Linked DNA regions of Cricetulus griseus. The protein of the gene in region 7 interacts with the protein of the main gene of each other region in a pairwise test. Links are inferred from orthologs where the notes say so. Each region holds a gene or a part of one and is shown on either strand. Other genes may lie near its edges. The genes, in order: Necab2, leukocyte receptor cluster member 1 homolog, Mid2, KAT8 regulatory NSL complex subunit 1, Stx11, Usp2 and Kifc3.

Region 1 (4,334 bases), about 25 Mb from region 7:
CCACTGCTCTTCAAGGAGGACCACCAGGCAGTGTTTCAGGACCCACAAGGGGGCCAGCAGCTCTTTGGAGTCTCCATGGTGCTGGTCCTCATTGGCTCCCACCCCAACCTTTCCTACCTCCCCAGGGCAGGTGCTGACTTGGTCATAGACCCAGATCAGCCACTGAGCCCCAAGAGGAATCCCATTGATGTGGACCCCTTCACCTATGAGAGCACTCACCAGGAGGGCCTGTATGCCCTGGGGCCACTGGCTGGGGACAACTTTGTGAGGTTTGTCCAGGGTGGGGCCTTGGCTGCTGCCAGCTCCCTGCTGAGGAAGGAGACCAGGAAACCACCTTAACGTCTGTAGATGCCCTGACACCAGGCCTGAAGAGGAGGGGCTTATCATAGCCCGGTGGGACATGAGTCCATCTAAAGATTTCCCAATGGGGGGGACCAGTCTCCCCAGCAGGAGATGAAGACTTGAGCCTTATGGATGGACTGTCTGGCCCAGAGGCATGGGGAACACAGGCTACCCATCCTCAGGCTAGTCAAGGCTCAAAGTGAGAGCAGTAGCCATAGGCCAGAGACACCTGGGCCTGGGCCTGGGCCCCCTTGAAGCTGTCAGTGTGTGCTGGAATCATGGGGCCAGCTGAGTGCCCAACTAGGAGGACTCCAGGTGGAACCTTTCAGAATCAGGTCCATAATAAAACCAACAGTGCCTCCACTGTGCCTGAGAAGTCTGTGCTTGGGGAGTGGCTGGACAAACAGACCCCATACTGGGCCCCTGGATGAGATCTATAGCTCCCGGAGAAGAAGGGATGGAGGCCCAAGGTGGAGCAGTTGTGGGAACAGTGCTACAGACTGGAGAGTCTGGGCAGGGAATGGGGCTTCCAGAAGCCCTTTGCAGCCCTGTCCACCCTGTAGTTCCTGGTCTGCTTGTCAGTCTCCAAGTCTCACCTCCCTGTTACCTGCCTCAGGGCCTTTGCACAGACTGGTGTCCAGCCCAGGTCTCTTAAGTCTGAGTCACTTGCACAATTCTCCACAACTTGCTCTGCCTTCAGGGTAACTGGCGTCCGCGGGTGGAGGAGGGGAGGAAGGGACACGGGGAGGAAGGGACGCGGGGAGGACCGGCCGGCAGAGGGCGCTCAGGGATCGCCGGACACTAGCACCACGGGGGAGGGGACCCGGGGTCAGCGGGACCCTGGTGGGGACTGGGGCACAATCCCGGGGGCTCCCACCCTCCTCCACACCCGTCCGCAGTCCTGTGTGTACGAGGACATCCCCCTCTGGGACCGTGCCAGGGTCCGGCCGCGGGACCTCGCACCCCCCGCAGGCAGTCCCCTGCCTCCGCTCTTGGCCGGCGGGGTGGGGGCGGCGAGCACGGAGCACGTGGCTCGGGGTCCGGGGAGCCCCCCCCACCCCCCGGCACTGGCGGTCCCCGCGGTGTCCGGGCCGCGGGCCGGCGGCGGGAGCGGCGCTCGCGGGCGGGCGCGGGCAGGGGGCGCGCGGGGGCGCGGCCGGGCGGGGGTCGGCGGGCGAGATGTGCGAGCGGGCGGCGCGCCTGTGCAGGGCCGGCGCGCACAGGCTGCTCCGGGAGCCGCCGCCGCAGGGCCGCGCGCTGGGCGGGCTGCTGCGCTGGGTGGGCGCCAGGATGGGCGAGCCCCGCGCACCGCTCGTCCCCGACATTCCCGTCACGGACCCCAACCCCGGTCCCGCCGTGCCACGCGGGGGCACGGCCGTCATCCTGGACGTGAGTATGCGCTGGACCCTCCGCCCAGCGCGGCTGGGTGCCAGTCTGCACCGGGACCCGAGGACCCTCTCCTCTATCCTGCACGTTCCCACATCCCCACATCCCTTAGCTGGGACCCTCCTCGACGTGGAGACCCCAAGCGCAAACCCCCAACTCTCATTGCCGCTGAGGCGCCTGTCCCCCAATCCAGATCGCACGATCCCCTCCATTCCCTCCCTCCACTTTCCCTTATTTCCACATCTCTACATCCCATAGCTGGGACCCCTTCTTCCCACAGGGACCCCCAGGACCCCCAACTCCCCCTGACTGTACGATCCTCACCTCCATCTTTTTCATCCACTTCCTTAGATCCCCACATCCCATAGCCGGGACCCTCCTCCTAGAGGGGACCTCGAGCCCCCAGCCCCACACCCGGACCAGGAACCTCTTCCTCAGGCCCCTCCCTCCATATTCCCGCTTCCACTTATCCCACAGCCCGGACCCTATTCCTCTCTCATCGCGGCTGGGGAGCCTGTCCCTCTTGGAACTCCACGACCCCCTGCATTCCCTCCCTTTACATTCCTGCATCCCCGAATCCCATAGACCGGACCCCTAGAGCTGCCATTAAGTCTGGCAGCTCTCTTTTGGCCCTAACCAAACCCTCTCACTTGAATCCCTATGACTGGGACAAGAGCCCCTGGGCACTTCCAGCCCTCTCCTCTCTCTTCGCGATTCTTCCCTGCAGTGTTACTTATCTGAGACCACACACAGCCCCTCAACCACCCCTTCACTCTCTGCTAAGGAAGCTGAGCACCCCCAACCCCCCGTGCTGTCCACTTTGCGAGTGAAGCCCCTTCCCCACCTCTCTTTCCATAAAATCAGAACCATGCCCGGACGTAGGGGCCCTCACCCCTCCCCCAGCTCCACCCGGAGCTGTTGTCCTTCACTCTCTCCTGGCACCCTCCCCTTCCTGTACTTTCCATTGACTCTTGGACCCCAGACTCACTCCTTACCCCACCTACCTCCTCAAGCACCACACCTAGCTCCTTCACCGCTGCAGAGTGGGGGAGTCACATGAGTGGGAGAGGGCTGGTGGCCTGGCTATGGAGGGGCTTCTGGGGGATGGAACTGGTCCGAGCGGGTACCTTTACATATTATGAGGTTCTAGGAGAGTCAAGGTGTTTTTGAGTGTGTAAGTGCATGTGCGTGTGTTTGTGTGTGGCACACACCCCTACAAGTGTCAGGGGACTAGAAACCCTCTCCCCACTTTGCTTCCCTTGCTAGATCTCAGAGCCCATACATCTGTCTGGGCAGGAGGGTTTCAGAGATGGGTGTCCTAGTGCCTTTATGAACACACACACACACACACACACACACACACACACACACACACACACACACACACACACCACATGCACACACACAGAAGGATTGAGGCAGAGTCCAGAGTGGAGGTGGCAGCTTGGCCCTCTTTCAGGGGAGCCCTGTCCAGCCCTTCCCTCTGCGCTTGCTGCTGTGTACTGGCTGAGCCTCTATTTCTTCATCTGTGAAGTGGGGTAAGCAGTAGGGGGAGGGTGTCAGTCACGCTGGTTCCAGGAGCCACCTTTCTTGGTGTCAGTTGGGGGCACATCAACCAAGTCATTTCCACACCCAGGCCTTTTGGGGTCTGGGAGTACCCTGAGAATACACATTTCCCTTGCTTGTCCTATTGCTTGTGGGGTGCAGGTGAGCAGAGCCATCTGTCCTTGGACTCAAAGAGACTCCAGGGGGTGGCACTTCCTGCCTGGCCTAACAGATCCCTATCAAACCTTCCTGAGTCTCGGAAAACAGAGAGAGAGAGAGAAAGAGAGAGAGAGAGAGAGAGAGAGAGAGAGAGAGAGAGAGAGAGAGAGAGAGAGAGAGGAGGAGGGGGGGCTGGAAGTTTCCTTCTGGATAAAGGGAGCCAATTCCTCCAGGATCCTGGGACCATCTCAGTGCTAGGACATCAGTCCCCACAGGGAGCTGATTAAAAGTTAAGCCTGACTGAATAGGTTCAGGGTTGGACATCAAATCCCTCTGTGAGTTAGAAGGCCTTAGCAGACACGTTGGTCTGATGGAGCTGCTGGTCCACCTGCCTGGGTTATGGCCCGGACTGAGAGGCTTTTGGAAGTGCCCTGCAAATACCAGAAACAGCCTCTTGACCCTGGTCACCCAGCACCTGTCATTAAAGGACCTTGAAGGATTCAGATGTCAGCAAACCATGGAGTGACTTTGTCTCAAAGTGCAGGTCCCAGGTTTGGTCTGTTCCCCATCCCATCCCTGCTAGTTGCAACCAGAACGTTCCTGCCTGCCTCCCCCATCTCATAATGACGCCATACTTCCTGTGGGCTGATTTTGTCACCAGGCTTCAAGATCACCTCCTTCAGAAGGGACCCAGGCAAGCCAGAGCAAGGGGAGGAGGGTCCTGAAAAGCGAATGGTGGGAAGGCACGGAGCTCTCAGGGGGTTCTGAGCATGGCTGGGTGCAGCTGGGTGCTCAACAATGGGGGAGTCTAGAGGAATGAGTGAGTGTACACCTGCAGAGATACACGTGGGTGTTTGTGAGCGTGCAGCAGGAATGTGCGTGTCTGTCAGCAGCCGTGGGCA
Region 2 (4,329 bases), on a different chromosome or scaffold from region 7:
GGAAGGACGGCTTTCACTGCTGTGCCTTTTCTTTCCCAGGTGCTTCTGCATGTCCCTCAAGGGGTCCAACCGGTTCTTGATCTTCTCGTCTGGGCTTGGGCCTGGAGGGCAGCCCCCTTGCCTTGGGGGGAGCTGGTACCAAGGAGGTTGCGTTTGAGCCTCTGCTGCGCTCTGGCCCAAATACGTCAGGATGCCTAGTGCTTTCTCTTGCCTCTCCTGTGGGGGCAAGAAAACAAAATAGTCTTCCCAAGTCCCTCTGGGAGCCCTAGATATGGCATGTGGCAGTAGGGAAACCCAGGGCCTGAGTTCCCAGTGAGGCAGGGGCTGGTGGGTATTCAACAAGGGAAATCACAGACCAGGGGCCAGCTACGCAAAAGTGCTGATGGCTAATCTGCAGGGGGCGTCTAAGGAAAAACTGCAGCAAAGCAGAGGAGTGGTTTCAGTGGGATGCAGGAGAGCCACAGTACAGTTCACAATGTGAGAAGCACAAGCGCCATCTGGCGACAGATGCTGACGACTAGCATTCAGGAGGCCAGCGCCGGAGGGGGTTGTGAGCTGGAGGACAGCCTGTCTGTGTAGTTGAGGTGTCATCTCAAAATAAACTAGCTAAGGTTAACATAAGAAACAGCTGTTAGTCACAGCTGGTAGCGCCCCACCCCACCCCACCGAAATCAGCCAACAGAGGCCAGCAGCTTACCTTCTCCTGTCGCTTCTCTTCTTCATGCTCTTTATTGCCTCTGGGCACTCCTTTCCCTTCTTCCAGCAGCTCCCTAAACAGGTCCACAGGGCCAGAACTTGGAGCGCCTGCCTCTGCTGCTTCCAGCTCAGGGCGTGAGTTCTGGTGCCTGGCTTTCTTCCGTAGGAATTCTGTTCGGGCCTGTGAAGAAAGTTATAGGCAGGACATTCAGAACGTAGAAGTGCTGGGGGCTCCAAGGAAGGGCCATGAGCCGGCTGGTGGTGACACACGCCTCTAATCCCAGCACTCAGGAGGAAGAAAGAGGCAGGTGGATTTCTGTGGGTTCGAGGCCAGCCTGTCTACAGAGTCCAGGGCAGGCAAGGCTACATAGAGAGAAGCTATCTGGAAAAAGGTTTAAAAAAAAAAAAAAATTGTGTGGGGGGGGCGGGGGTAGAGGTACTGGGAGCCAGAAAAGACACCATTTCTAATTTGAAGTGGAGAATGGGGTTTTTGTTTGGTTTGGCTTTTGAGATAAGGTTTCTCTGTAAAACAGTCCTGGCTGTCCTGGAACTCAGTCTGTAGACCAGGCTGGCCTCCAACTCACAGAGAATCTGCCTGCCTCTACCTCCCAAGTGCTGGGATTCAAGGCATGCGACACCACCACCCGACGAGAATGGTTGTTTTTAAACAGTTAACTGGATTACCAGGGATATTTGGGGAGATCCCAGCCTAAAACAGAAGGGTTTCCACAGCCTGGAGTCATGCAAGAAAAACAGCTATCAAAAACCACTCAGCTAGGGGCTGGAGAGATGGCTCAGCGGTGAAGAGCACTGACTGTTCTTCCAGAGGACCTGAGTTCAATTCCTGACAACCACCTTGAATGAGATCTGGTGCCCTCTGCTGGCATGTGGGCAGAAGACTGTATACATAATAAATAAAATCTAAAAAAACAAAAACTACTCAGCTATAAGGTATAGAGGTGGCTTGTTCACCCATAGAGCCCCTGCTTAGTGTATGCCCAGCACACACATGTACAAACTCCCAAATACAGCTTATTAGGAAGCCAAACACAGTTTCTGGACAAAAGATCTGAACCCCAGGTGTGGCTCCAGGTCAGCATCCCAAACACATTAGTGATGGCCCGTGTCACTCCCATCCCAGGTAGGTTCTGCATTGCCACCAACGCCCGGCTACTTCCGAAATTTTAAATACCCACACTACTTCATGATCAGATTGGCCAAGGGACTTAATTGTAAACTAACATGATTGAGTAATTACTAACGCCTGTGCATGCATGCGTGGTCTTCAATCCCACATTCAGGAGGCAGAGGCAAGAGATCTCAGAGCTCGAGACCAACCTGGTCTACATAGCCAGTTCCAGGGCAGCCCGGGCTACATAGACCCTGTTTCAAAGAAAGCCTCTTTGGTGGCGCACGCCTTTAATCCCAGCACTCGGGAGGCAGAGGCAGGGGCAGGGGGATCTCTGTGAGTTCGAGCCCTGTCTCCAGAGTGAGTGCCAGGACAGCCTCCAAAGCAATACAGAGAAACCCCTGTGTCGAAAAATAAAAACAAACAAACAAAAAACCGAAAGAAAGAAGAAAAAAAAGAGAGAGAGAGAGCAAGCCAGCCTCTGGGTGTGTTTGGGGGAGCAATGGTGGAGAAAGAAGAGGTCTAACGGAGTGCACTCCGGCTTGCCCGCCCTTTGCCCTCCTCGTTGAAGCCTTTGCAACTCCAAGTCGCTCTAAGAGGGTCGTGTCAAGTCTAGCGCTCTGCAGGAGGGGGGGCACGCATACAGTGGGTGCTCAGTAATTAACTTGTGCGGACGATCTCCAAAGTGATCGGGGCAGCCGTCCCACTCCGACGTGCTAGCCTGCGGTCACTTCAGCCACACCAGGGGGGGGGGGGGAAGGGGATCCAGGACGGTTTCGCGCAAGTCAGCAAAGGATTTGCGGAGAAGCGTCAGCAAGCACAGACCCGCGGCTGCCACCGAGTCACCCACCGACCCAGCGAGGCCCGCCTCGCTTCCGGGCCAGCCCAGGCTCACCTCCTGCTGGGCGAGCAGCACCCTCCGCTCACGCTCCTTCTCCTCCTCCCGCGCCCGGGCCTCATCGCGCCGCACGCGGGCGACGTTGTCCTTGTTTCGGACGTGCCAGCTCTTCTTGGGCAAGATATTCATGGTCCCCCCGCCGACCTCCGAGCCAGCGGGCCCCCGACTCCCACACTTCCGATTGGCGCGAGGGTGCCCCCGCCCCGTGGCCCCACCCTCGCCTGTGCATTGGTTCCCGGCCAGACGCCACGCCCACTTATGACCCTATCCAGGGGTGATTGGCTAAGAGGCCCTCCATCACAGCCAATCCCAAACGTTTGCCACCCCCGGGTCGCTCCACCCCGGACGCCGCCGTGTAGGGCTGATGCTGCCCCGCCTTGTCTAGCCCTCTGCTCGCAGACACAACCCGGGACCCGGATCAGGCCCCTCCCTAAACCCTGTCCCCAGCTTCAGGACCCGGCTTCAAAATGCAAAGCTGTTGTTTATTAATAACGGTGCAACTGAGAGTGTGGCACTGGGGTGGGTGGGGTGGGGTGGGGTGCGGAGGACTCGATCCAGAGACCACAGGGTACCAGATAGGGAGGTGTAACCACGGGTCTCGGGTGGTCAGATGGCTCCGTTCGCTGAGCTCAGAGCCACAGCTCGCTGGGCTAGGAAGACTTTATTCTTCGCTTCCTGAGGGCAAGAAAAAAGAAAGGGGGTGGAAGTGAGGCAGGCCTACTCTACACCCTACACCCGAGTCCTTCCCAGGTTCCCAGGGGGCCCTGGCCGGGGAAGCACCATGGCTCACCGTCTCTATCTGGCGTTTGAGCTCGGAAATGAGGCGTCCGTAAGAGTTAGCCAGGGCTATTGTAAACACCATCAGGATGCTAAGGAAGACAGGGATGAAAGTTACTTCAGAAAAATAAAATAAATACACACACACACACACACACACACCCCTTCATCATATGGCTCCTTAGAAACCAGGATCACGCCCGGTGCTGGTGGCACACACCTTTAATCCCAGCCCTAAGGGAGGCAGAGGCAGGCGGATCTCTGTGAGTTCGAGACCACCCTGGTCTACAAGAGGGAGTGCCAGGACAATCTCCAAAGCCACAGAGAAACCCTGTCTCGAACCCCCCCCCAAAAAAGAAACCAGGATCAGGACCCCCAAGGGCCACTGGCTTCTGCTTCAGACCAGGAGGAGTCCATACCTCTGCCCTCCTCCCTCTGACCAGGGGTCTAGACTGCAGACCTCCTTTAGACCCAGTGTTCAAACCCAGACTTCTTTTCCTTAGACCCGGGAATCCAGACCCCAAACCAGATCTAGGGAGACCCCAGTTGTCTTCCATGCCATAGGTACCCAGGCAGCAGCCCTCCTCTCTAGCAGCCCCCAACCCCCCAACACTAAACCACACATATCCAAACTCCGACCATAAAGTCTGGAACCACTTACCAAGAGAGGATCAGAAGGGGTACAGCAAAAGCCTGCGTCCCCAGAAAGTAGAGAAAGTTCTGGGCGGACTGAGGGAGGGTTTCGATGGACTCCGGGATGTGGACCCAAATGGACATCTTCCCTTGGAATGGACCGCACAGCTTAGAAGGTGGGATCCTGCGGGCAGAG
Region 3 (3,707 bases), on a different chromosome or scaffold from region 7:
CTTTGTCTTCTCCACTTCACAGGCCTGTACAATTCAGTGGATAGCTGGATGATTGTGCCCAACATTAAACAGAACCATTACACAGTGCATGGACTCCAGAGTGGGACACGCTACATCTTTATTGTGAAAGCCATAAATCAAGCGGGCAGCCGGAACAGTGAACCCACCAGGCTAAAAACAAACAGTACGTTTTGGAGATTCTAGAAGGAAAGACCAGCTTTCCTCTCTGTGCCAGGGAGGACAGTTAGCCTGAGAGACTCCCCCATTATAATGTGTGAGAGCAGTGGCTCTGAGTGGAGGAGCTTTACTGTTATGCTTGGTCTATGGGATTTGTTGGTACCCATGGATGTTTGTGGCCTAAGATATATAGAATAGCTTGTGGCCTAGAAAGAAGTTAGGGAAGGGTTTTTCTCTGCCTTCCACCCCTGGGTCCTATGCTTGGGAGAAAAATTCAGTTAAAGAGTTGTTTCTTATGACGATCTACAAAGCTCTACCATAGAGAAGCCCTATCGGTTAGGAATGTTCTCGGTCACAACTGACACAGTTTAACAAGTATTTCCAAGTAGCTTAAGTTACTAGTTGTTTTAGTTAGTTTGTTTGTGTTTAAACATACATAGCAAGAAGTTTGAGGGCAGCCTGATCATGGCTAGTATAGCAGCTCTGAGATCTCATGGAAGGTTGGAGCTCCTTCTTTGTGCATTGGTTTACCCACAAGGTCGAAAGATGGCCAGTGCAACTGCTGATGTCATAGTTCCCTTACTAGGAAGAAGGGAAAAGTTGGTAATCTTTTAATTAGGAAACAGAAGCTTAACTGGAAATTTCTTCCAGTCTCTTTGACTTCAGTGTCCTTCTTATTAGCTGTCCCTAGCAGCAAGGAAGGCTGGAAGACTGAGTGAGAGAGAGAGAAAAAAATAAGTAATGGATACTGTATTAGCACACAGTGTCTGTTACAGAGGCATATTGTGTACTAAATCTCTTGCCCTAACCAGCACCGGGGGCCTGGGACAGTGTTTTTGGCATAGGGTTATGAGTTTCTGCAGCAAAGCACATGTTATCTTTCATCATCGACCATGGAGCAGTCACTGTAACAAAGTCGACTAATGACACGCACTCTCCAATTAGAAAGCCAACATCTCCGGTTGCTGAGCTCTTCTCAGTTTTTCTTTAGTGATCAATGGCCTCATTAACACAAGCTTTTCTACCTCAAACATTGCAACACTCTTTTAAAAAATCTACCCACATCCCCACCCACTCACTGAAATAAACCAAAGTACCAAACATATTTGAGGATGTGAGACTTTGAGTGGTCCCTTTTAGTTTCATAACATATGATGGGAATACTTTACTAGCTCCCATGTGCTTGGACTCTGGCTTCCAGCATAGCACTCATATGAGAGCCCCACATTTTTCACACAGATGGAAAATAATGCCTGAATGAAGGTTATTTTAGGGGAGGAATGACTTGTATTCTGACTTAATTGCAAAGTGTGCCATCTTGCCTGCTTCCTTAATATAATCCAAACTCCAGCTGACCTGCACTTAGCGAAGGATCACCGTCATGTTGAGGATCCTCTGCTAATGATGGTCCCGGAGGGAAAGGCACAGTTCTTAAATCCTTGATCATGCTTTCCCCCTTTCCTCTACTTTTTTTCAGGCCAACCCTTTAAACTAGATCCCAAAATGACTCACAAGAAGTTGAAGATCTCCAATGATGGATTGCAGATGGAGAAGGATGAAAGCTCTCTGAAGAAAAGCCATACCCCAGAGAGATTTAGTGGCACTGGGTGTTATGGGGCAGCAGGAAATATATTCATTGACAGTGGCTGCCACTACTGGGAGGTAGTCATGGGTTCTTCAACATGGTGAGTGGCTATTTTTTTCTTTCCTTGTCCCAGCTTCTCTGCTGTTAGGTTCCTAGGAGATTCAATTCTACCGCACAGCTAAAATACCAATAAGTCAAGGTTAAGAGATATATGATAGGCACCAGTGCTAGAAAACTTGGCCAGCTTTTAAAAGATAAAAATCATGGAAAATATAGTGGGCTAGGAGCTGAAGTGCTGTATCACTCTAATTGCTGGCTTTACAAGATCTGATGATAATTAGCATTATGCCTGTAAATATAAATGTTTTAAGGAAGAAGCACAGTGAGTCACTCGTAGGTCCTAAATAATGTCTAACACAACTCATATCATCCATAAATACTTTTCTGTCTTCTCCTCCACTGTCTCAGGTATGCAATTGGTATCGCCTACAAATCAGCTCCAAAGAATGAGTGGATTGGCAAGAATGCCTCTTCCTGGGTCTTCTCCCGATGCAACAGTAACTTCGTGGTGAGACATAACAACAAGGAAATGCTTGTGGATGTGCCCCCACAGCTGAAGCGTCTAGGTGTCCTCTTGGATTATGACAACAACATGCTGTCTTTCTATGACCCAGCTAACTCGCTCCATCTCCACACTTTTGATGTGACCTTCATTCTTCCAGTTTGTCCAACATTCACAATCTGGAACAAATCCCTCATGATCATGTCTGGCTTGCCTGCCCCAGATTTTATTGATTACCCTGAGCAGCAGGAATGCAACTGCAGGCCTAAAGAATCCCCCTATGTGTCTGGGATGAAAGCTTGCCATTAAATGGCAAGAGAGCATGTAATTCACTGGCTCTCCACTTCAGCATTTCTTCCCCTCTTGAGCCGCCATTAGTGTTCCATATGTGAGATACAAAATACAGTTCATTGGAAGCACCCTAAATAACTAGATATTGTAGATTTAATTTTTTGTGCATTAAAGCTTATGTTTGGATTCATGTATTGAGTTACTCAGAACAAATGATCTGAATAGTCTGGGTTCATGACATTGGGGAAGAATTTTAGAGAATATCTCTGTCATCATTGGGAAATTAAAAATTCCCAGTGGTTTGAGAGTATAAATGAAATTGGAAAGAATTAGCCTTTCTAGCAGTGGCTAGGTGGACCAGATGGAATTTGCACAGTTTCAAATTATCATATTTGTCACTTTTTAATAAACTAACAATCAAGGTGTTATGAGAATATCATACATGTGTATATATAATATATAAAATGACTGAATTCATTTTATGAGCAAAATGGCATAGATCATTTTATCTATTACATATATACGATAAACCTTAATTTGTTCATTTAAGTGAGAGATATATTGAAAAGGAAAATGAATTATACTGTCCATTCTTATCCCCTAGATGAAACATCACAGTAGACTGGTGTTTTTCTCTTCTTACCTTTTAGCCTTTCTTCCCAGACCCCCTCCTGTCACACATAAAAACACATGCAATCAAGACACAGGGAGTGAGAAGAGCTCTTGGTTAGATTAGGAGAGCTCTGTGGACAAGATTGCTTAAGAGATGCTACTGCTACATTGAAAATTGATTCTGGTCTAGTGTGCTGTGTAGCATAATTTCATTGATATTATTTAATAGAGGAGATTTATTTGAATTATTAAAAATTGTCATAGAATATTTCAAAGAAATATAGTTTTGTTACTCTCAAATACATAGTTACTAGACTTACGCTAAAAAATAGAGTTGCATAATGGAGGTTCCTCAGAATTCGCCTTACTTGATCAGTAAGAATAGTGTTACAGGTTCAACAACTATATGAGTCCAAATGTACTTGTATTTTCAGATGAAGCTCTCCTGAAATGCTGTTTTCATCAATAGGATCAATACTC
Region 4 (3,707 bases), on a different chromosome or scaffold from region 7:
TCAGCAACTGAATGATCTGATTCCAAGGGATTCCTTGTTGTCTTCTGACCTCTGTCTGGCATGAGTCATGCATGAGGTGCACATACACATATACATGCCTATATGGAGGAAAACATTCATACATAAAAATGAATCTTTATAAAAAGATGGCATTCCAAGAAGGCTGGCTTAGCTTGGCAACTTAATAGTTCGGGGACTGGAGGGGTGGGTTGGTGGTTGAGAGCACTGATTACTCTTCCAGAGGACTGGGATTCTATTTCCAGTGCTCATATAGTGGTTCACTACCGTCTTAAACTTCAGTTCTAGAGGAACCAATGCCCTCTTGTGAATTCCTCAGGCACCAGTCACAGCACTGATACACATGCAGACAAAATATTCACAAACAAACATTTTTAAATGTGATAATTTTTTCTGAGACTTCATGAAGCTGAATTTTTGTACTCATTCCTTTCAACACAGACAATTAAAGAAGACCAAGGAGGGATATATGAGAGGGTTTGGAGAGAGGAGCGGGAGGGATAGATGATGTAATTATCTGGGAAATTCAAAAGTTTTAAAATTAGCAAAATCCATAATGTTTACTTGTGTCATCAAGAACATCTTTTAAAAATAAACTAATAGTTAATTTTGTGACTGTATGTAGACTCATGCTGTAGTACATGTGTGGAAATCAGGACAACTTGAAGGAATTGGTTAAACCCAGATGTTCAGGTTTGATGGCAGGCATCTTTACTTGCTGGGCTATCTAACAGGCCCAAGAACATCCTAAATGTAATTGGCATTTTTTTTAAGCTGCAAGTGAGGAATACTTTGACTACTTTCATTGTTTGGTGCTATTGTCTTGGTATGTACCAGCAGTTTTGCTTATCTCTGTTTTTGGACCCACATTGCAAATGTTAACAGTTTGTAAAAGGCAGGGCCAGCAGAGATGGCTCAGTGGACCTAAGGCACTTAATGGCCTGAGTTCCATTCCTAGGTTCCAACGAGAGAACCAGATCCTTCACATTGCCCTCTGACTTACACAGCTGTACTGTGGAATCCACAACCCCCACACAAAAATATTTTTTTTGTTTTTTTTTTAACAATTTTATTATTATGTGCATTAATATTTTGCCTGTATGTCTGTGTGAAGGTGTCAAAACTCCTGGAGCTGGAGTTACGTTGTGAGCTGCCATGTGAATGCTGGGAATTGAACCCTGGTCCTCTGGAAGAGCAGACATTACTCTTAACTGCTGAGTCCTCTCTCTAGCCTCCAATAAACATTTTTTTTTAAAAAAAGCAAATGATGTTTTAATATTACTGAAGTTCTCTGGCCACACTCACACTGTAGGCATATGTTTGCCTGGAAGTACAAGTGTACACACATAGCAGCAGCAGTAGTGTGTGTGTGGGGGGGGGTATGTATTAAGATCCCTAGAGGTACAGAGATTGGGCTTTTAGGGATAGTTGAAACAGTCCTTTATATAGATTTCCCTTTGCTTCCAGACCCAGATAGATGAATCAGGAATGAAGAAGCAGCAGTTAATTGAGGTATGTCATTAAGAAAATGAGGCAGGGTGAGAAAGGAAAAGGTTTATTGAAAGAAGAAAGAGAGTTCTGAGTTTCCAAGGATGATCAGATTAGAAAGTTAATTAGTGCAGCTCAGAATTTTTTTCTGAGAGTTAGTGGTCCTCTTACTAGTAGTTGTTGCTAAGGAAATGAGAGAGAAGGCAGAAGGAAGGGATCTTGGGTGGTACCAACATTTTAGGAGGTTTGAAAGGAAGAATAGAATAGAATTATAATGCCAAGAATATCAGGAAAGAATATTTCAAGAAAGTCCATATTACTTAATACTTATGGGAAAGTCAGAATAGGACTGTAGATTTAATAATAACTGGATAATAATATTACTGGTTAATTTTCCTGGAGTGTGATAGGAATGGAAACTAAGTTCTAGAGGAGTGAATAGTAAGGTAACTGTAGCTATTCCTTTGAAGTGTTTTGGGGGAAGGGGGAGAAAGTTATGTTGGGCTATTAATTTAAAGACACAGATTTACTCTGAAAAATAGCCCAGTAGAAAAGACACTATGTGCTATATGAAAGAAGAAAATTAATGAAGCAAATTGATGTTACAGTGTGATGTAGTTAGCCTGGTAGTAACAATCTAAATTTGTAAGGAATGAGCTAATGAGAACTGGATTCCTGGCCAGAAAAGTAACACAAATCCATGAGATTTTGGCATAAACCTTTTAATGAGAATAACATGTTTTTCTATTACTGGATATTCCTCTTATATGGTCATATTAAATCTAGTAATTTAACATTTAAAGAGCCCCCTCCCCCCCTTGGTTTTTCAAGATAGGGTTTCTCTTTGTGGTTCTGGCTTTCCTGGAACTCATTCTGTAGATCAGGCTGACCTCAAACCTAGATCCTCCTGCCTCTGCCTCCAGAGTGCTGGGAATAAAGACATGTGCCACCACCACCTGGCAAAGAGGTTTTAAGTGCAGGTAATTGTAACCATTTGTGATTATTTCAGAATGGGACTTCTATTTTGACAATATTCAGCTTGTGGTTAACAAGTGACACGAAGGGTAAAATTATTTTCTTGTGAAAGCATTGTGTTCCTCTCTTTCCCCTAGGTGAAAGACATCTGAAGGCTGTAGAATGGTTCCTTAGTTAATTTTCTTTATTTGGAGGCAGAGTTTGGACAATAGCCTCAAGTGGTGCTTCTATTGAAAATGTGTGTTGTTTTTGAATTCACTTGTATTTCTGACTTCCTTTCTCTCTATCTCTTTCAGTTTGTTCTCAGGGGAGGCAGTAAGGGGCCGTGGAGCTGGCCTCAGCACTGGAAGAGGCTGGACTTCCTGTCTCTCTGTGCTGAATGGCTGCGATGGCGCCCGCTCTCACTGACGCAGCAGCTGAAGCACACCACATCCGGTTCAAACTGGCTCCCCCATCCTCCACCTTGTCCCCTGGCAGTGCCGAAAATAACGGCAGCGCCAATATCCTTATTTCTGCCAACGGAACCAAAAGAAAAGCCATTGCTGCAGAGGATTCCGGTCTAGACTTCCGAAATAATCCTACCAAGGAAGACCTGGGAAAGCTGCAACCATTGGTGGCATCTTATCTCTGCTCTGATGTAACATCTGTTCCCGCAAAAGAGTCTTTGAAATTACAAGGGGTTTTCAGCAAGCAGACAGTCCTTAAATCTCATCCTCTTTTATCTCAGTCCTATGAACTCCGAGCTGAGCTGTTGGGGAGACAGCCAGTTTTGGAGTTTTCCTTAGAAAACCTTAGAACCATGAATACAAGTGGTCAGACAGCTCTGCCACAAGCGCCTGTAAATGGGTTGGCTAAGAAATTGACTAAAAGTTCAACACATTCGGATCATGACAATTCCAGTTCCCTCAATGGGGGAAAACGGTCTCTCACTTCATCTGCTCTGCAGGGAGGTGAAGTGGGGGGATCTGACTCTGGGAACTTGAAGGGGGGTATGACCAATTGCACTCTTCCACATAGAAGCCTTGATATAGAACACACAACTCTATATAGCAATAATAGCGCTGCAAACAAATCTTCTGTTAATTCCATGGAACAGCCGGCACTTCAAGGAAGCAGTAGGCTATCACCTAGTACAGACTCCAGCTCTAACTTGACAAATGTTAAGTTAGAGGTAAAAAAGTCTCCACTGTCTTCCATTCTTTTCAGTGCTTTAGACTCTGACACAA
Region 5 (4,282 bases), on a different chromosome or scaffold from region 7:
TAGACTCTTTGTTTTTGTTTAGCTCCATCTCCCACTTCCCACGCCCCAAGAGACCATTTTTAGTTTCCCGGTTGCCTTCTTCTGTGGCAGTTTAACTTTTCCCTTTGTTTGTTTATGACCTTTTGACAGGTATGGGTAATATTGGTCAGGCATTTGACGGAGGGTTGCAAATGCCTGAATTTGTGCTTGTGGAGGCCAGAGGCAACCTAAGACTCACGGTCAGGATATCATTCACCTCCTTTGAAACCAGGTCTCCTACTGGTGGGGAGCTCACCAATGATTCAAGCCTGGCTGGCCAGGCAGCCCCAGGTGTGTGCCTATCCTCACCTTACCAAAGTTTGGCATGGATCAGCAGGCACAATATTTTTCTGGGGGTTCTAGGGAATCTAACTTAGATCCTCAAGCTAAAGGGCAATCACTTTACCCCGGAGCCACCTCCCAGGCCGGTAGCTAGGGAGACTTAAAGGGTTTCTGGACTTCATTTGGTATGCCCTTCATGATAAGACTGGGGTGTGGAGGAGAAGAGCCTCAGGAGTAAAGTTCCATCTCCACCAACATATTTATATTTATTTATTTATTTATTTATTTATTTATTTTCGAGACAAGGTTTCTCTGTGTAGCTTTGTAGACTCACAGAGGCCATCCTGCCTCTGCCTCCCGGAGTGCTGGGATCAAAGGCAAGCACCACCTCTGGCCGGCTCCCATCAGCATTTTCAGAGCACACATCCCCAGTGTTCTTTCTGGCCTTGAGCACTGGGTGAAGTGCATGCCAGCTCTGTGTGGTAAAAACTAGCCCCCACCCCTTCCTACTATCCTTTGTTGGGGGCAGTCCCTTCCCAGAGTGCAGAGACACGCGTCGTTTCCATGAGAATGGAGTTTCTGCCTCAGTTACCTGAAATTGCTCTGCCTGAGAGATTGTTAGCCATCTATTCACATTAGATGGATAACTTCTGAGAGACTGTCAGCCATCTATTCACATTAGATGGATAACTTCAGTTACTTTCTCGTACTATCTTGTCCCTGAAATCCTTCCGGCTTTGAGCACTCCGAGCTCTTTTGGTGGCTTCCTGGCACCAATGCGCCCCTTTTGATGGTTAGTTTTCACTTCGTTTGTCAATCTGTTTTCCACCCCCTCACCGAGCACCCCCCTTTCTGTTTCTGAGTCTCCAGTAGGGTGCCAGGAATATTCCTATGGGCGCCCCACTGACAGCAGGTGGGAAAGGGCTGGTAGAAGGCGGGGCTCAGTGTCTCCGTGAGCTCTAGCCTCCGGTTAAGCCTTCGCTAGTGTCCTGGTTTGCGCAGCCACACCCACGCCCAGAAACGGTTTCTAGCATCCTAGCCTCGGAAATGTTCTGGACTGCAAATGTCATCTGCGTTGGTGGGGTTTCCCCGGGGGAAGTCCGACGGATCCCGCCCTGTCCATCTCTCCATCCCAGAGCGGGAGGGAAGACAGAGAAAGTTCCCGGGTGGTCCACGCTCCCCACCCCCACCCCTGACCCCGCAGCATCTGGCGGAGCTTAGGCAGGGAAGGTGGCTCGTGCCTAGGCTCCCGGCAACCTGCAGCGTGACGACTGCAGTAGGGTAAGGAAGCCGCGCGCCTAGCGGAGGACGTCTCCGGGGCGGGGCCTGGTCCCCAGCTGTGCGGCCTCAGAGCGCCGGGGGCGGGGACAGTGGCGTCCAGATGCGGTCGGGGTGGCGCAGATCTCACTCCGCGCCTGAGAAGCACAGCCGGCAAGAAGCGCAGGGAGCAGGGCCGCCGGGACACGCGCACCCGGTTTCCTCCGGGCGTCCCGTCGCTGGATCAGCGCCCCACCGGATCACGGTTCGTTTTGTCGCACGAGTCCACTAGGCTCTCTAACTTTTTCGGCATCGAGGACGTGGGCAGGGGGTTGGCTGGGTTGGAGGGATCGCGCTGACCCAGGATGGGATGCTGAACAGCAGCAGGTGGTTTTGGGGTGTGGTTCTCTCTGCGCCTCTAGATGAGGCTTTGGGTTTCTCATGTAGAGCCGAAAGCTTTTTAAATGTTCGAGAGTATAATGCTTCATCAGAAGTGCTTCAGAAATGACGACTGTAGACTGACTTTATAAAGGTACCCGAGACAACTTTTGTTTTCAATCGAGAGGTTGAGTTTTGTTTTATTCTGTCTTATTGAATGGTTTGGTTGCCACTTTCTCAAACACATCAGAACCGGCACTTCTTGACTTGAACTTGACAGTATGACTCAGGAGCCAGGAAATACAGGAACATCGATACCTCCTCGTAACAGCTCCCACAGAAGACACTGAGGAGTTGTTTTTAGGAGAGAGACCTGATAACTTTGCTTAGAGAAACACGCTACGGAATTCTGTCAGCTTCTGGGCTCCACGAACACCAGCTGAGACCTGTGCTTTACTTCCTGTGGCCCTCTCACACTTGTTCGAGCCATTTCTCAGCAGAGGGAGGAGCTGTTGTTTCTACACGGGTATCCAAAAATGAGTCACAAGGCTGCTCTAATTGCGAGACTTTGTTAATAAGCCTTTGAAAAGTGATGTTGGATCCCTGTGCTTAGAGTAAGACCAGCAAATGAGACCGGTGCTGTCAAACTGGGGCAGGCGGCCTAGGAAGTAACTATTCAAGTTTTCAGTTTCCTAAAGCGTCTGATGGGACAACATGCCAGCCAGGGTCACTAGGCTGATCTGAGATAGCCCTTAGAATCACGTGCTTTGCCGCAGAAGCTCAACAGAAAATTAATTTCATTATCCAATAACCATTTGGTTGTTCTTTTCACTGCTTGGTAGGAATGGGACATTTTATGGAGTGATTGTAAGTCATTCTGAAACTAAAAATATTTCAGATAGTTTACTTTTACCACATTAGTGCTCTAAGAAACATTTAGAAGCTTTTGAAGAAGTTCAATGGTTGCTGGAGCCAGACATTAAGATGTTGAGTCTCATGTGTCTGAATAGTGGCTCTCAGAAATGGACTTCCCTATCCAGAAGGAAGGGACACGAATAACTGTACCTATCTAGAGACAGGAATAACTGTACCCTAACTGAGCTGATATCAGCCCTAGACAGCAGTTACAAGGCTCTGGTCTGCTCCAGCCTCTTCACCAAGTTCCATGTATACGACCATGGACACAATGCTATCCTGGCAGCTAGGACCATAGCTGAGCAGACTTGGGGAAATCCAACATCATGAGATGTGTGCTATGAGAAATCTATACACAAAGGAGGTGCCCCGGCAGGGGGTGAGTTGAAGCCTTGAGTTTCAGAGTGTCCTGGAACATTGCTGGGACAACAAGAGAAGGCTTGAGTTCCACCCACCTACTTGTCTTTGTGGGCAGCCTGGTTTTCATTCAATATGTAGTTTAAAGGCACATTAGTGAACATGGCTTTTAAGTGTTTGAATTAACCATGTTTCATGTTACTTAGTAGCTGTGTAATGAATGGTAAATGCAGTCTGTTATCACTCCTAGGCGGTTGTGGCCACTCTTAGTTATGTGTCCTTTTAAAAAGACTATTAATGGGTGGTTCCTAACTGTAGACCACTAGATCGAAGCAACCTTCTGCTCATGGGTGCATACAATTGTTGCTCCTCATCTGAGGGGTTGACTTGACTTTCATGACTTTAGTTACCTAAGTTCTGATACATTAAGTAGAAAATTCCAGGGATAGTAATACACTTTGATTTATTTTGAGACATGATCTCACTGTTTATCCTGTGCCTGGAATTCACTATGTAGACCAGACTAACATAGAATTCATGAATAGCTGCCTGCTTCTACCTCCTGAGTGTTGATAGTAAAAGTGTGTGCCACCGCACCTGCCAGTAAGATACTTCAAGAGAGGGGGTGCATTCATACCGAATTAATGATGCTATATTGTTAATTGTTCTCCTATTAATTCTCATTTATCTCTTACTGTGAATCATTTATGAATTTAAACCTTATCTTAAATATATGTGTACAGGGAGCAAGATAAGTAGGAGTCAAGTATTCATCAGCATCTCTTGTGCAGGATCCCTAAGGATTAAGGAGGACCAAACATTCCAGTCCTCTGAGGTAGCTAAGTAGTAAAGGACAACTGCTCAACTTAAAACAGCTTTAATCTCTACATTTCATCTCTCCCTCTGCAGCTGCAGAGTCATGTCTTCTATAAGAAATAAAAGATAAAGTGTGTTAAGCATTGTGTTCCTGAGCTTTGGCACGGGTTTGACTTATGATGGTATAAAGAGGTTTTTTTTTAAACAATGAACCTGACTATAGATGAGGGTTGCCCAGGAACTGGAAGGGGTAGGTGAC
Region 6 (3,707 bases), on a different chromosome or scaffold from region 7:
AACACTAGACAAGCCCAGTCAACAATGACACCCAGTGGTGGGATTCACATTTTATTTGGGGCAACCTAGGGTTAGCAATACAGGCCAGGGCAGTCAATGGAGGATGCTACACACTACCTGCTGCCAGCAGGCGGACCCTCCAGCTGAAGGTTTAAGCCATGTCTCTCTTCTGAGTGTGCTTTCTTCTCTACCTGCTAGAACTGGACCTGACAACTGACCTGACCAGGGGAGGGATCCTCTTACTTATGGGATGGGCCTGGGACTTCTTGAGAAAAGCCCTCCCTTGGCCTGCTCCTCCCTCCCCCCTTGAAGCTGACAGTCTCATGGGCTTTGAGCCGCTGACAGCCTCCTAGGCTGTCAGCACACAGCATGAGTAATTTTAGCTGAGTTATTTCAGGCTCCTGTTCTGATGAGGGTTGAGCTGGCCCCACGCATGCCCCAGCCAGTGTTGCTCCAGAGTTGCCTTCTCCGAGGCCCCCTTTCTAAGAGAGGGGGTGGCAGACTCATCCACAAACTCATGCACTGTTTCTTTAACCCTTTGAGCCTGAAGGTTTTCTGATTCCCAGGTGGTGTGCCCAGGGTTAGCTAAGAGACCTTGACAAATAATGCTCAGAGGCTACAATCTCGCACCTGTTCTCTCTCCAGCCCCCTCACCAGCCTCCACAGCAAAGACTAGAGTGGCACCTTCAGCCAGGTGCTTCCTCAGCTTGGCGGCACATGTCACAGCAAGTGTTTCCAGCCAGTGGCTAGTTGGGATGTTGAAACCTGAGGCGGGAGGGCTGGCGGGCGGGTAGGATCCTCCTGCCTTGGCTCAGCCCTTAGAAGCTGAGTTCAGCTGGAAGGAATTCCACCTGTCTCTGGCAACTCCGAATGGCAGGCAGCTTGAATTTTTCCCAGCTGAAGATCGAAACTCAATTGCAATGGTTTGTCATTTAACCTTTCTCAACCCCCTTAAAGTGCCGATTATGATGGTTCCTTTATACTTGGAACGTCTAGTACAAATATAGGTCATATGAAATAGAACCTGGATTTGGCATGTGAAACCTTTTCTTGTTGTTTGGTATAGCTCAGACTAGCCTTTGGGTTCACCTGTGAATGTAGCCGAGGCTGACCTTGAATCCCTAATCCCCCTGCCTCCATTTACCAAGTGCTGGAATTGTAGGCATTCCTCACCATGCCTGACCTAGACTTTCAGTTTCTTACAGCAAGAAATTTATATTCCTGGATTTATGAATCCATAGCCTCTAGTTTTAATATCTAGTCTCCACTGTAGCAGAGAAAGAATATAGAGAAGCCAGGCGTAGTAGCTCACACCTGAAATCCCAGAACTCAGGAGGCTGAGCAGGAGGATTGCCACAAGTTCACTATGCTACCCAGTGAGACCATAAAAAAGTGACGCCCTGAAGAATAGTTTGTGTGTTGAAAGTAGGCATTCTTCCATGCTCTGTTCTCCAAGACCCATAGACTAAGGTTGAAAAGAGAACAGTCTACCAGGCGGTAGTGGCATACACCTTTAATCCCAGAACTCAGGAGCTAGAGGTAGGTGGATCCCTGTGAGTTCAAGGCCAGCCTGGTCTACAGAGTGAGTTTCAAGACAGTCAGGGCTACACTGAGAAACCCTGTCTCAAAGAAGAAGAAAAGAGCACTCCAGTGGTGAGGGCAAGGGTGTTGAATAGAGAGCTGTACAGACCCAGGCTCTGAGCCTCTATATATGACACATATTCTTTGCTTACAGAATTCAAAGAGTGCCCAGGGTCTGGCTGGTCTTCGAAACCTTGGGAACACGGTAAGTTCCTCCCAACTCACTCTTTTCCAGGAGAGTAGAGGCCATGCCCTCCTCTCCTGACTGGAATAATCCAATAGAGTCCCCTCCTGGCTCCAGCTGACGACCTATCCTATAGGGCAGTCCGCACCTGCCCTTCCTGGCTGGTGTTTCAGTGAATTGCTGGGCTCTGTCTCACCCGCCCCCAGCAGGAAGCACTAAAAGGAAGTTGCCCTTGTCACTGCCAGCTTGCTGCTCTCCTGGACCTTCCTCCTGGATCCCAGCACTTCCCACCCACTTCTGACCAGTGTGCCCACACCCTTTTGTATGCCTCGATAGGAAATAACCAATTATATGGCCTTTCCCCATAGTGGGGACTTGCCTTGCTCCTCCCTGCCTCCACTCAGGAAAGAGGAACCTTTTTGGATAGATGAAACAGAGAGCCTTTGGTTGCAAGTAATAGAAGTCCTGGGTAAGGGTCTTAACTCCATCACCGTGTTCCAGCTTTCTGCCCCTATGACAAGATAAATCAACTTAAAATGACAGTAAGTTTACTGGGCTGTTTTAGTTCATGGCTGACTTATTGGCTCTGTTGCTTTGGGCTTGTGACAAGGTAGTACATGTGCAGCAAACAAAACCATTCACCTCATGGCCAGGATGCAAAAAGAGAGGAGAGGCTGGGGCCCTCTAGGCCTCTTCAGAAGCAAGTCCCCCAATACATGAAGTGTTCCCACTGGGCCCCATTTCTTCAAGTTGCTGCCACATCTCCATAATGCCATTAGCTGGGAATCAACAGCTTGTAGAAAACTTAGAACTCTGCACATCCACTAATTGCTCAGATTGTCTCTTGTAGTGCTTCATGAACTCAATTCTTCAGTGCCTGAGCAACACCCGAGAGTTGAGAGATTACTGCCTTCAAAGGCTATACATGCGGGACCTCGGCCACACCAGCAACGCACACACAGCCCTCATGGAAGGTGAGGAGCCCCGTGTGGGCGTGGCCCGCTTCCATTCCCAGCTCTGTGCTCTTGTATCAGGCTGGACTGATAGCTGTGTTTTGGATATGCTCCACCCCTCTATTTTTCTTTCTTTGCCTGTCATTCGTTGGGATTCATTACACAGTAAGGCCGTGTCTCAAACAACAGATTCTGGACCCAGAACTGGATCCAAACTTGGTTGGACCCAAGCACTAGATTCTCTTGCTTAAGCCTCCCAAGCGTTGGGATTACAGGTATACAACACCATGCCTGACTCCAGTTTCAGGGTTCCATCTTGTTTGTTCATTGTTTGATTAATCCATGGGTTGGTTGGATAGTTGTCTTTTTTTTTTTTTTTTTTTTTTTTTTGAGACAGTCTCATGTAGCCCAAGGTGGCCTTGAACTCCTGATCCTTCTACCTTAACTTGGGTTCATGAGTGTGCACTACCATACCTAGCTCAAGGTTTTGTGTGTATGTGTGTGTGTGTGTGTGGTGTGTGTGTGTGTGTGTGTGTGTGTGTGTGTGTACAGTGTGTGTGTGTGTGTGTGTGTGTGTGTGTGTGTGTGTGTGTGTGTGTACACAATCCTGGGACTGGAAAGATGGCTCAGTAGTTGAGCGAGCCATCTGGTCTTACAGAGGACCATATTTGATTCCCAGAACCCATGTCTGGCAACTTACAACAACCTGTAAGTTTAGTTCCAGGGGTCCAGCACCCTCTTCTGGCCTCCTTGGGCACTCACAAGCATACATACATACATACATACACACACACACACACACACACACACACACATACACACACACACACACACACTAAAATAAAATTGCTTTTTACAAAAGCAAATATCTCACCTTTCCTCCACCCTCTCTCTGGTTGTTCCTTTCAACAGAATTTGCAAAACTAATCCAGACCATATGGACATCATCCCCCAATGATGTGGTGAGCCCATCTGAGTTCAAGACCCAG
Region 7 (4,487 bases):
CGTGCTGGAATTTTAAGAATGCTTCCTCCTAATTCTCCATCTTTGTTTTGCCATGGCTGGTGCTTCTTATGTTCATTTAGAGGCACTCCATGTATGTATGTACATAGGTTTACATCTCTGCTGGACTTGGAGCCTCAGCTCTGACACATTCTGGGTTTGCCAAGGAACCTTTCCTCTCTTGAACAAGTTCCCGGACTGAACAGTGTCAGACAGGATCTTGTGTCTAAAGAGCTCAGCACAGTGCCTGGCACTATGCTCACTCTGAATAAATGGTGTCCATTATGTGCACAGAGGGGAAAGGCTGTACTAAATAAAGTGTTGGCAGCATTTATTCCCAGTGGGTGGGATTATGGTTACAATGAACATCCATTACTTTTGTAACTGGAGAAAAGGGAACAATAAATGTTTTTATTAATTTAAAAAAAGAACCTTGACTTTGACTTTGCTAGAAGGAAGCTGAAGTTAATGTCAGTGTCCCAACCCTTAAGCAAGACAATGTTTCTGCTTTTATACTCAAACTTTAATGACAGACAACCCCCTACCCTATGAAAAGAGCCTCCAATAAAGGAGACAATGCATGCTTCCAGCTGGGGCCTAAACCCTTGTGCCTGTCTTGGTTCAGATTCTTGACTCCCAGTCGCATGTCTCAGCAGCAGAAGCAGGAAACAGCTCATCTGAACTGTTCCCTCATAAGCCATCCTTGCCAAGCCAGAAGGGGCAGACCCCCCATGCTTGCTGCTTGCTTCGGAGGTTCTCTGGGGATCATCAGCTTCTGCTGGTTAGGCTCCTGCACCACTTTCTCCTTCCGCACCGTCGAGTGGGCACACTGTGGCTGAAATAAATGCTTCTCTGTTTGGGAGACAAAGAACAGAGTGGTTCCTCTGGGTCAGCTGTCTCTCTTGCCTGGCTGGGCCTGCTCTCCCCCAGGCTTCTTCTGAGGCTCCCAGGCGTTCCAGGAGGAGCGCTTAAGGCAGATTGGGGGCTGTTGCACTCTGAGCTGTTTGGCTGGAGCTTAAGGGAATGTGTTACCTTAAGGAACCCCAAGCAGGCTTCTCAAGAAGATGCTCATTGGCTGGGGAGCAGGGGCGCAGCTGGAGAGACAGTATGGCAGGCAGGACCAAGACAGAGAGAGTGCATGCCCGTGTACCAGAACAGGTCAACGTGTGTATATGTTTGATCTCGTGTGCAAGAGCATGCGTGAGTGTGCTAGAATGAAAAAAATGCATTCTTAAAATGTTATTCTGTGTGCCGGATGTGTGTGAATCTTAGCTGGAGTGTGTGAAACTTCTGCACCTGGATTAGGGGCAGAGTGCCAACCATTTGAGGGTGAGTGTAACCAAATGTTAACACCTGGGTGGGAAGGCGAGGCCTGCGTTCCTGCAGGCTGGGTAAGGGCAAGTGTGCAGGCACTGCGGTGTGTGCAGGCACTTTGGCGTGAGCCTTCTCCAAAGGCGCAGGCAGGTGTGCTGGGGCGCGTGCACCAGAGGGAGAGCGCAGAAGTTTTATCAGCCTGTGTTGGGGGTAGGAGTAGAAGGGGCATGCGCCCCGGGCAGGCGCGTGCGCGAGAGTGAGCGTGCCCCCTCCCGAGCCCGTTGCCATGGAAACGCGCCGCGGCCTGAGTTAATCATTTCCTGTGGAAAGTGCGGGAGGGGCGGGCGCGGGGCGGGCCGAGGAGGAGGAGGCGGCGGCAGCTGCGGCGGCGTGGAGCAGCCTCGCGAGGGCGGGCCGTAGCTGGCCGAGCCCTGGGCTCTGCGGCGACGCTGTGATCCTGTCTCCGCTAGGCCGGTGAGTCGGGGTCCGGGCAGGCTAGGACGGGTTGGGACCGGCTCCCCTAGCGCGTCTGGTGGGCACCGCGCCCACCCTGCCCGGGGACCCCTCTATCCCGATCTACGGAGGGCGCGGCGTCCGGGCCCGAGAGAGACCCGGCTGTGCGTGGGGTCCCGTTGCATCCTCCAGCTGAAGAATCTCGCTGGGCTTGAGGGTGGCACGGCCTTTGGGGTCGCGCTGCCTGGACTCGCTTTGGATCTCATTGGTGGGGAATGTGCAGAGCCTACCTGGGAGCTGCGTGTCAGCCAGCGCGCCCCCTTCCCCTGCATGGGTCGCTCCCAGGAAGGCTGCAGTTTGGCCCTCCCTCTGGGTCCCTGGGTAGTTGCTTTCTCTGGCCAGGCCCAAGGTGGGGTGCGCCAGTCCCTAGGTTAGGAGGAAAGGCATCGGAGATAACCCTCACAAGCCCAGACGAATCAAGTCATTGACAGCTGCAGCTGAGGAATCCCGGCAGGGAGGGGGAGCCCAGAAGCTGTCTGTCCCCTTTCAGCCTTCCTACTGCAAGTAAGAACGGAATTCTGGCCGACACAGTGAAAGGCCCAGTCCTGAGACAGTTTAAAGAGGAAACTGGATTTTAATTCTTAAGTACATTTGTCACCCCATCCCACCCTCTTTAATGCATATGTCAAGCTTGGGCATTGGAACTACCCCTAGCTTCACCTTCCTTAGTGTCCTTCTGCCCCAGACTGGGCGAGTGCCCTTTCTGGCCTGGTAGGATTTTTTCCCCTGTGCCCTTCATAAAGGGGCGTCTCCTTGGCCAGAGAGAGTCATTTGCTAGGAATGCAGCCCCAAAATGGTTCTGTGTATTTGTGGGGCTGGACTTCAGGATTTGGGGTGGTGAGTTCTGCTGTCCGGATGGGTTCCAGGGAGCAGGGAATTTGACATCTGGATTACCCAGAATATGTTCTGTGTGCCAGGGAAACCCTAGCCCAGTCTAGCCACCCCAAAATGCTCACCCAGGAGAACCAGGCTATCTCCAGCAGTGGTGTATAAGCGACTATGAAGTATACCCCTAGTCTTTGCACTGTCTCTGGTCTAGAGCAGGAGGAAGGCAGCTCTACCATCCTGGCCTAAACCCAGAGAGACACATACCCCTCCCCCAATGTGCCTCTGCATTCACCCACTAATGGGACAGTACACCAAAAGATAGCATTCTGAGCTCTTTGTACACTTCACACATGTATTGTCTGATGTTCATGCCGGTCCTATGAAGTGCAGCTCTCACCATTTTATACATGGAGGTGATAAGACAAAGACTAGGTGATTAATTCTCATAGGTGGCAGGGCCAAGGCCTGGACCACTCTCATAGATCTACTCCATGAATTCCAGATTAGTAGAGGCTCCAGGACCCCAGATAAGACACCTGTGTAGGAGAGCCTGCGCTGCTGTCTCGGTGTAGAACCCTGGGCTTGATTGAGATTCCCTGATATTCCTGACCTCACACCAGGGTTTCCAGCTGCTAAATTCAGCTGCCTTTTCCTCTTGGGGATCTAGCACACACCCTTCCTCTTTCTTCAGGCTGCCTCTCCAACTTCCCGTCCTGCTGGCACAGAAATATGGTCTCCAGCCTCTACCTCCTAGACTGAGCTGATGTCCCCTAGAATCAATCCTCTGTCCTACGTGGTCTCCCCTGTAGGAGCACCTGCAGAGGACGGTCCTCTCATCATCCCCCGTTGGCTATAGGGTTGGCTCTATGCCCAGCTCTGTGCCAGTCAGCCTGGAGAGGACATTTGTATCCATTCTTCTTGCTTCTTCCCCCTTACACACATCTCAAGGCATCAGCGCTGTGAGGCTACTTATATGGGTCAGCATCTTCCTTACCCTTTGTCCCACATTCCTGTCCCCCTCTCATTGTGTACCCCACATTGTCTTCAGTCAAGGAAGGAAGAGACCACGACCCCACTGTCTTCAGTACTTGACCCCGTGAGCATCAGTCTCTGACCCCAGACTCTTTCTTTTCTCCCCACCTTGCTTCTAGATGCTTTGTTCCTGCACCTCTGTCTACCCCACAATGCCACCTCTCCCCTGTCTCAGTTCCTCTCCTAACCATCGTCGCTAAACTTCCCCCAAAGAAGAAAACAGCTGCCTTCTAGGCCCTCTCCAATTCCTTGAGCCAATTTGAACTTGCTTTGCAGCCTAGGCTGGCCTAGAACCTGCAACCTTTGAGTGCTGGGATGGTAGGTATAACCCCCCACCCAGAATTCTCTAGGGCTTTCTTTGGCTTTGCCATGACCACCTGACTATCCTACTTATCTGCCCAGCTTCTTCTGAGGACTCTGTGCATGACATAGGCAGCTCCTGCCACCTCTCTGACCTCCTCCCTCTTCCAGTTACTGTTCCCACCCCTCCACGCCCTCTTCACCCCAGCCTTGTCCTTACTTAATACTGTCTCCCATCTTGGTCAACCTTGCTGATTTCGTCCTTACCTGTAGCAGTCGTGGCCTTTAGTTCTGAGTCTTAGTGGCTAGCCGGTCCTCCTTTCCTGGCTTTGGGGTGTGTGTGTGTGTGCGTGTGCGCGCGCGCGCGCGCGCGTGCGCACATGCATGCATGCATGCCTCTCACTCGCAGGGAGCCAGAGAGGGTGAGAGAGACAGACCCAGTTCAACACATGTTCTTGCTGCCTGGCAGGAGATGGTCAGTGCAGTGAGGGATGAGGAAACTG

Evidence for each region.
Region 1: the proteins of Kifc3 (region 7) and Necab2 interact in binary tests that used the Homo sapiens proteins (3 or more experiments, as listed by UniProt). The two-hybrid records come from large-scale screens. The link is inferred for Cricetulus griseus from reciprocal best matches to the Homo sapiens genes KIFC3 and NECAB2.
Region 2: the proteins of Kifc3 (region 7) and leukocyte receptor cluster member 1 homolog interact in binary tests that used the Homo sapiens proteins (3 or more experiments, as listed by UniProt). The two-hybrid records come from large-scale screens. The link is inferred for Cricetulus griseus from reciprocal best matches to the Homo sapiens genes KIFC3 and LENG1.
Region 3: the proteins of Kifc3 (region 7) and Mid2 interact in binary tests that used the Homo sapiens proteins (3 or more experiments, as listed by UniProt). The two-hybrid records come from large-scale screens. The link is inferred for Cricetulus griseus from reciprocal best matches to the Homo sapiens genes KIFC3 and MID2.
Region 4: the proteins of Kifc3 (region 7) and KAT8 regulatory NSL complex subunit 1 interact in binary tests that used the Homo sapiens proteins (3 or more experiments, as listed by UniProt). The two-hybrid records come from large-scale screens. The link is inferred for Cricetulus griseus from reciprocal best matches to the Homo sapiens genes KIFC3 and KANSL1.
Region 5: the proteins of Kifc3 (region 7) and Stx11 interact in binary tests that used the Homo sapiens proteins (3 or more experiments, as listed by UniProt). The link is inferred for Cricetulus griseus from reciprocal best matches to the Homo sapiens genes KIFC3 and STX11.
Region 6: the proteins of Kifc3 (region 7) and Usp2 interact in binary tests that used the Homo sapiens proteins (3 or more experiments, as listed by UniProt). The two-hybrid records come from large-scale screens. The link is inferred for Cricetulus griseus from reciprocal best matches to the Homo sapiens genes KIFC3 and USP2.

What each region holds. Positions count from the first base shown.
Region 1 is NC_048596.1:196,080,009-196,084,342, forward strand, and holds the start of Necab2 (N-terminal EF-hand calcium-binding protein 2), read left to right. Parts: upstream 1-1,521; coding exon 1,522-1,731; intron 1,732-3,630; exon of another isoform or gene 3,631-4,334. Other genes in the region: Osgin1 (oxidative stress-induced growth inhibitor 1), read left to right, coding at 1-339. UniProt on the Homo sapiens protein: May act as a signaling scaffold protein that senses intracellular calcium.
Region 2 is NC_048602.1:21,581,423-21,585,751, forward strand, and holds the start of leukocyte receptor cluster member 1 homolog, read right to left. Parts: upstream 2,922-4,329; 5' UTR 2,853-2,921; coding exon 2,721-2,852; intron 878-2,720; coding exon 698-877; intron 217-697; coding exon 1-216. Other genes in the region: Tmc4 (transmembrane channel-like protein 4), read right to left, coding at 3,330-3,398, 3,514-3,592, 4,162-4,317.
Region 3 is NC_048604.1:39,570,402-39,574,108, reverse strand, and holds part of Mid2 (probable E3 ubiquitin-protein ligase MID2), read left to right. Parts: intron 1-22; coding exon 23-184; intron 185-1,654; coding exon 1,655-1,862; intron 1,863-2,230; coding exon 2,231-2,633; 3' UTR 2,634-3,707. UniProt on the Homo sapiens protein: E3 ubiquitin ligase that plays a role in microtubule stabilization. Mediates the 'Lys-48'-linked polyubiquitination of LRRK2 to drive its localization to microtubules and its proteasomal degradation in neurons.
Region 4 is NC_048600.1:117,451,307-117,455,013, reverse strand, and holds part of KAT8 regulatory NSL complex subunit 1, read left to right. Parts: intron 1-1,485; 5' UTR 1,486-1,530; intron 1,531-2,777; 5' UTR 2,778-2,860; coding exon 2,861-3,707. UniProt on the Homo sapiens protein: Non-catalytic component of the NSL histone acetyltransferase complex, a multiprotein complex that mediates histone H4 acetylation at 'Lys-5'- and 'Lys-8' (H4K5ac and H4K8ac) at transcription start sites and promotes transcription initiation.
Region 5 is NC_048595.1:275,905,864-275,910,145, forward strand, and holds the start of Stx11 (syntaxin-11), read left to right. Parts: upstream 1-1,482; 5' UTR 1,483-1,822; intron 1,823-4,282. UniProt on the Homo sapiens protein: SNARE that acts to regulate protein transport between late endosomes and the trans-Golgi network.
Region 6 is NC_048597.1:155,786,674-155,790,380, forward strand, and holds part of Usp2 (ubiquitin carboxyl-terminal hydrolase 2), read left to right. Parts: intron 1-1,735; coding exon 1,736-1,786; intron 1,787-2,615; coding exon 2,616-2,739; intron 2,740-3,630; coding exon 3,631-3,707. UniProt on the Homo sapiens protein: Hydrolase that deubiquitinates polyubiquitinated target proteins such as MDM2, MDM4 and CCND1. Isoform 1 and isoform 4 possess both ubiquitin-specific peptidase and isopeptidase activities.
Region 7 is NC_048596.1:171,341,656-171,346,142, reverse strand, and holds the start of Kifc3 (kinesin-like protein KIFC3), read left to right. Parts: upstream 1-1,658; 5' UTR 1,659-1,785; intron 1,786-4,487. UniProt on the Homo sapiens protein: Minus-end microtubule-dependent motor protein. Involved in apically targeted transport. Required for zonula adherens maintenance.